2 linked regions of the Mytilus edulis genome follow. The protein of the gene in region 2 purifies or fractionates together with the protein of the main gene of each other region. This does not show direct contact. Links are inferred from orthologs where the notes say so. Each region holds a gene or a part of one and is shown on either strand. Other genes may lie near its edges.

Region 1 (3,759 bases), on a different chromosome or scaffold from region 2:
AACAATGCTGCAATGCTTTAGACAACATTGGTCTAGAGACTTCATGATTTACATGTATAAAGCTTTTAAATGTAAAAAAAAAAAAAAATCCCTACCTACCTACCCACCTGCTGATAGTGTGGGTCGGCAATGCCAAACAAACAATTTTTTAAGGGTGGCCTTGGTTTTTGAGTTATAAGCCAAAAACTGCATTTTACCCCTATGTTCTATTTTTAGCCATGGCAGCCATCTTGGTTGGTTGGCAGGGTCACGCCACACATTTTTCAAACTAGATACCCCAATGATGATTGTGGCCAAGTTTGGTTAAATTTGGCCCAGTAGTTTCAGAGGAGAAGATTTTTGTAAAAGTTAACGACGACGGACGACGACCACGGATCACGACGTTGGACGCCAAGTGATGGGAAAAGCTCACTTGGCCCTTTGGGCAAGGTGAGCTAATAATTGAGTGACATTCATTTAAACATTTTTAGAAATACATTGTACATGTTGTACATCTGAAGAGAGATTTTTCTAAGGCAGCAACCATTAGATTTTCAGGGGGAGCTATGGATTTTTTTTCTGGACAAACTTTTTTTTCTCCGCCTAATCTATTTTTTTCACGACAAGTCGAAAACAATTTTTTTATTCTAATTTTAGCATTACATATAGTGGCATCTGAGGGGGAAACAAACAATTTTTTTTTCTAAAAAACCCCAAAGCCTTTATATGAATATAGTTTTTGTCTCCATAAAAGGCGACTAACTGTCCTTGTCACTTTTTGGTCTTTGGCTTGTCTTGACATTTTGTAAACATGCCTTCAGCGAATTGTTGTTTTGTTTTATCAATTTATGATACTCTCTACTGTTATTGTTGTCATCGTGATGAAGTTATAATAATACAAGAAGTGCAGAGGAAATGCCAGAAACGTCCTTTAATACGGAACGTCGGGAATAAGGATGGTATCGACGAAGACCCAAATTTAATGTAAATAAAACCATGAACATGAACAAGACAACAGTACCAGTAGGAACATTGTAAATAAAGGTTATCTTAAATATTGTCTGGTTTGGAAGAAGTTATTTTACATTCTTTGAAATTGAAATAACAAAATCACAGGCACAATATCCATGATATTATTTAGAATCATAAAGGTAAGTACCACCATCTCTTTGCCGAGATATACACTTTTTAATTTTTTTTCACTGTAGTCAATTCAAATGGCCCATTCATTTGACAACATGGCCCATTATTTTTTAAAATGGCCCCTTGAATTTAATTTTGAGGGGCCCTGGGCCCATAGAGAAAAAATCCTTCCAGATCACTGCCCCCCCCCCCCCTCCAGAAAATCAAATGGTTGCTGCCTAATATCTACATCTTCGCTAGCCAAGGGTTACGATCCACTCCCGTTCTCTTCACCCTTGGCGGATTGAGATAATATTTCGGAGACACAAGGTAAGGATTTTTATTGGTTGCAGTAGAAACTCGCTGCATCCAATCATAAGCGCCTGTAACATGATCACGTGTAAATGTAGAAAGTGATCGTAAACAATTGCCACGTGTTTATTGTGCAACAAGCCTTTACATCACTAAGCATACGACTATATTTAGTGACAACTTGAATGTTTTTAATCAACTAATAGAAGTTCCTGTGTATGTTTCATGCACAAATGCATGAATGTTGACGTATATTTTACGGCTGTACCAAGTGGGTAGAATCTAGACGCTACCGTGTTTTTACCTCCTAAATGAAGAGTTCAAGTGCTACCATTGGTCAAGAATAATGTATTCGGAATGGGCGTGACTTTAATCTTCCGATAGATGGCGCAACATGGATTCAACAAATGTTGGCTCAATCTGCCAAGGGTGAAGAGAACGGGAGTGGATCGTAACCCTTGGTTAGCGAAGATGAATATCTAATTTTATTTATGAAAATATAAATATATTACTTTTATGCTCAAAATCTATATCTAAGGAGCCAATACGAAATAACATTTTAATGATGTAAAGTTAAATTAAGACGTAAAATAAATCAACTGGTATATTAATAAAAAAAAAACAGTGCGAACAGACCCAAGGAGCAAACATACAGGGTGTTAATGTGTTCTGGGAAGGAATGCAGAACTATAGAACCCAGACCTACCAAATAATGCATGGGGATCGTACCACATGAATTGAATTCTTAGCAATGAAGGTGTATAATTGTGCCTAACTTGACTATCACAGTAGAGCTTCTTTCGAGTTTGGCAGAATTATACACCTTTATCGCCAAGTCTTTCAATCTCCTGTGATCGTCCCCTTAAAGGGATTTCCCAAAACTGTCCATGTACACTTGGATCACAGGGGTTTGTTACAATTACAATGTTTACAAATTATCCATACGAACCCCATTTTTAGGGGTTCGTATGAACCCCATTTTTAGGGGTTCGTATGGGTAGTAAACCCGACAATTGTAACAAACCCCTGTGCTTGGATCATATTGTCTAAGTGGAGATTAAATAAATGTGTTTCTGGCTATTAATCAATAAAACAACCATGCTAGTCTTATAGTGACTGCAGATCTTGTTTGACATGTCAACAAAAAACGAAAGGACACGTCCAACGTTCATAACCACATGGTACTGTCAGACAGTGTTTCAGAGCAAGATCGGTGAAATTTAATGAAATACACCGCATAACGGGATAATTTAAGGATGATTTGTGAAATGTTTGTGACATTATGGCTTTAAAAAGGGGTCTGAATGTTTTTCTTTTCTCGGCACATGTTTCTTTACCCTGTGCCGCCATTTTGCAGTGAATAAATAAAACCTTATTTTTCATTTCGATCAAATTAAAACTTGTTATAAATTATAATGACAGATAGTTTATCTTAATAATTTTGTGATAAAATATTTATTGATAGTTTTATGCATAAAAGATGAATAACATTGACTTTTTTCTTTATTAATACGAACTTCCGTTTGATGCGGAGTTTCACATTCGTCGCATCCGTCCACAATCCACAACTTGCTGTCCGATCTTTTTTTGCAGAAAACATGGTAATTACAAGACGGTGTATATTGAGTTAAAACTAGCACTCGAGGAAAAATAAACTTTAAGTTACAGTGACGTAGGCCTGTGCATTTTAAATGCTCAATTTGTCTTGTCACGGTCATGTCATACAGTCAATTTTTGGAAAGTTTGCTATAGCTTGCTATTGCTACTTTCCTTAGCCGTCGGCCTCAAACTTCCGGTTGACAGATTATCGCAATATATTCTGCTCCGAGATAGTGTAGTACTAGTGTTTGAGTTATGATTCTTGGAAGATTCTTTTAAAATTTTGAGTAACTACTGTATTGACTGAAAAGATAACAGCTTGAATAAAAAGAAATGAATATTCACCGACGATTCAGATGAATTTAACTTCATTTTAAAAATGAGTATTACAAACACTACTTCGCGGATCTGCCATGCGCTATAGAGAAAATCACAAGAAATCTACGCGAGATTACGTTTTCATTCATTCATGAATATTTCATGAATGAACATTTCCCCGCTCTACTTTTACCTGTTTACTATATGTACGTACGTAAACGTGGTAAAATCCCGAGTGTATCGAAAGAATCGAGAATGACTGATTAAAATGCGAGAACAAGTTGACATTTTGACCAAGCCGTCGGATAATTGAAAAGTGATAATGGTTTGTTTAAACAAAACACAGTTGAAAGAATATAAAATACACGAGTAAAGGTAAATACCGGCTTTGATAAAAAATAAAAATTTAAAAATGCCGTGATTGTTTTT
Region 2 (3,759 bases):
AATGCAGAAAGTTGAAATACATATAAAAAGGGAGATAATTTAATTATATCAAATTATGTCCCCTTTCAATTAAGTGAGTAGAAAATTCAGTTGCTTCTTTTAGGTAAAAGATATAAAAATTGAGAGAAAAAAAATATCACTCGCTCCATATTTCTTTAAAATTTGAGGCGAAGAATTTAAAAATATAAATTTAAATTTCGCTCGCTCGCCCCATTTTTTTTTGGGTAAAATCTCAAAGAACTATTAATTAATTTGGTGTGGCCTCAACTTCAGCTTTATTCAAACATTTACAATAGAGATACAAATTATAGACACATACAACCACAGACACTTCATAATAACAACTCCTTTCACTGGAACTATGAGGTAAACTACAGAAAATATCTTTACTTACCTTCATTAAATTCTTCTTCATCATTATGCCTGGGGAAAGGAAAGCAATTTGTGATTTCCAACTTGTTGTCGACGACTAGACCTAACAAGACACCCTGGACCAAATCTGTTCCACCAGCTGCTTCCTCTTGACAATGTTTAACTATCTTCAATACAACCTACAATGTAACATAGTAAAATATATGTATGTGAACGTGTTCTTGACAATGCTTAACTATCTTCAATACACCCTAAAATGTAAAATAGTAAAATATATGTATGTGAACGTGTTCTTGACAATGCTTAACTATCTTCAATACACCCTAAAATGTAAAATAGTAAAATATATGTATGTGAACGTGTTCTTGACAATGCTTAACTATCTTCAATACACCCTAAAATGCAACAAAGTAAAATATATGAATGTATTCTCAGTTGGTCCATCTCACACATACATCCCAATGAATGTTATAAATCTGTGCAGGAAACAAAAGGATATATCAACTTCGTAATAAAGAACTCAGTCATCAGATCAGAAAAGTCATTCAAATTCTTGTGCATTCTTCTAGACCAAATTCTTCTGTCCCTATAATGCATATATTTACTAATTTACATTCGCTTTTTATTGATTTTGCTATTTTCTATTTTTTTTTGTGTGCAATATACATGTATAGAGACAGAAAGCAGTTCCAATCCAAAACAGGAGATCGTGGACAATTTGTTTGCACTAATTTTTCGCTTATTTTGTATAAATTTGTCAGATATCCGTACCAATACACACTGGTAGATAAACATTTTTTTCAACATTTTCATGTGCCTTTTTAGAATCAACAACCTTTATATGTCAAGATAATCCACTTTTTTCAACATTTAATACATTCTACTTTTAATCTAATCAAGTTTGGCAGAATCTGTTTGACATATTGAACTATTTCGACCAATCAACACTGATTTCCGGTAACATGATTCTTCTACCTTCTTGCATATGAATAGCAAATTAGGTTATAATTAGATATCATAGTTAGTCATAAAGGAAGATAGAAGATCCTAGTAACCGGAAATCAACATTGGATGGTCGAAATAGTTCAAGATGTCAAACTTCTGTCAAACTTGATGAGATTAAAAGTAGAATGTTTTGAATATTAACCATTTGATGCTTGATGGTAAAGGCATTCTTCTTCTACCCGTTACGAGTCTAACTATGTAATAAAGTGTAATTGAATGGGGCACATCTCAAACAGACAGGAGGCCACTCATACCACAGGAGTTTGAAATCCTATCAATAAGGGGGTCAAAATATACCAAAGTCGACTATCACAGTAGAGCTTCTCTCGAAGAGAGAGAGAAGCTCTACTGTGGTAGTCGACTTTGGTATATTTTGACCCCCTTATTGATAGGATTTCAAACTCCTGTGCTCATACACTCTTTCAACTATGTTGATTTCTTTGAATAATCAGAGGCAACCAATTGGATTTAAACAACTAACACTTAAGTGCCAGGTGTATCAATATAAGTACATTGTCAGAATTTACAGAAATATAAAATGTATTTGTACTGGCTACAAAATAGAATGTCACACTCTGGGAAGCCTGGCTTATTTTGATTTGTAACATACATAGCAGTCTATGAAAAAAAAACAGAGGAGAAGCGTTTCTAATAGTCGACTTTATTATTTACAGACTTTTATCATATTTATTGACAGAAATTTATCATGAATTTCCTGTGGCACTACAAACGATGTGAGACTAATGTAATTGCGTCGCCAGATTAGAAGGTACCTATTCAAAGCTTTATTGAAAAGCTAAATAGTTATATTTAATGAGCATACACTAATTATTGAAATCTATTAATTAGAACACGTACAAGACCATCAATTTGAACATATTGTACAGGAGAACTCGTGTGTTTTCTGGAAGCCATCTTGGAAAAGGAGAGTCCGGGTTAATGAAACGCTTTCTGGACAATCTCAAAACATATTTTATTTATTCCTATACACAAACTCGCCCCAAATAATATTTCGTCCTTTGAGTACTAGTGTCAAAATTGTGGCGTTAACCATTATAGAACCGAATAATTTAAATGTATTGTTGTACAATATTTCTTGGAAAAGAAAAAAATGTCGATAAAATAAAAAAAAAGAACAATTATAATTCGTTTTTTTTTCATTCTGTCGATCTTGTACAAAACATGTTTGAGGGGATAATATACTGCTGGGCTAGCAATCTCCGGCGCAGAGCTCACATCCGTTCCGTACTTACTACGTATCACTACACTAAGTCATTGTATTGTAGTGTACTAAGTCACTGTGTCTAAACCACACCGGCAAAATTTGATCGGACTCGATGGTATCTAACATCCGGCACAATGACGGAACATCAATAGACAGAAGAAAGATAGGTTTCTCCTTATTTTCTTATTTTTTAATGATATCGAAGAATATATATACATATACAACTATTTTCTATTGTGATATGCAATATTTTCTACAACCGTTCTATATTAACGAAGAAATAAGTAAAAATGCATGTCAAAATAACGAATTGAGTGAACCTTGCCTCAAAATTGTTTAATTTTTCGTTAAATTGTTCACATTGTACGGAAAGAAAGATACGGGAAGATGCAGAAGTTAAGATTTATATTACTAAGAAGTGTGTAAAGTTTGATGCAATAATGATAAATCGTTTTGAGATATGGCGCGACATGTTAAAAAAAACCACACTCCTGTTTTACTTACAAAGTTCTGTAACTCAATAAGATTTCATTTGATTTTTACTAAAAGGTTTATAGTTCGTTTGACCATTTCAAGAAATAACTTTGTTAAGTTTCATGAAAACTAGATAAGCTGTTCTCAAGTTACGGTGCGACATGTTTACGCTGGACGGAAAGATAGACGGACGGACGGACGGACAGAATGACTGATAGATGGAGGAACGGACGGATGGAAGGAAGGAAGAACAGATGGACGGACGGATGTATACAAAATAATACGTCCTGTCAAAATTTTGACGGGCGTGTAAAAACGCAATGAAATGGAAAAAAAACCTCTTAATTAAAGGTCAAAAGTTTTATTAGGATATCGACCAAGTCGATTTATTTGTATATCTTCTTGACTTCCTAAGTCATTTTTGCTATATGCCTTATATATATATTTTTGAAAATAATAATTTCTATCTATTATTTCATTATTGAAAAAAATTAAATTAAAGAATTCCAAACAAAATTACACCGTTCTTGAATTTAAAAACAATGTGTAACAACTGAAAATTTCAAATTTCACGAACCGGATCGGACATAGCTTCACTGACGTTTTTTTCTCAATAAAACAAATAAGACATATTATTTATATTTAAGTGTACATGTCACAAATGCTTAAATGGTCGCAATTCA

The links.
Region 1: the proteins of eukaryotic translation initiation factor 3 subunit H-A-like (region 2) and eukaryotic translation initiation factor 4B-like purify together in Homo sapiens (affinity purification with mass spectrometry; 3 studies listed by BioGRID and IntAct, with this or other methods). This does not show direct contact. The link is inferred for Mytilus edulis from reciprocal best matches to the Homo sapiens genes EIF3H and EIF4B.

The regions. Positions count from the first base shown.
Region 1 is NC_092345.1:41,815,183-41,818,941, reverse strand, and holds the start of eukaryotic translation initiation factor 4B-like, read right to left. Parts: upstream 2,778-3,759; 5' UTR 2,764-2,777; coding exon 2,751-2,763; intron 1-2,750. Other genes in the region: leucine zipper transcription factor-like protein 1, read left to right, coding at 3,012-3,014. UniProt on the Homo sapiens protein: Required for the binding of mRNA to ribosomes. Functions in close association with EIF4-F and EIF4-A. Binds near the 5'-terminal cap of mRNA in presence of EIF-4F and ATP.
Region 2 is NC_092353.1:8,920,386-8,924,144, forward strand, and holds the start of eukaryotic translation initiation factor 3 subunit H-A-like, read right to left. Parts: upstream 2,368-3,759; 5' UTR 2,293-2,367; coding exon 2,236-2,292; intron 552-2,235; coding exon 395-551; intron 1-394.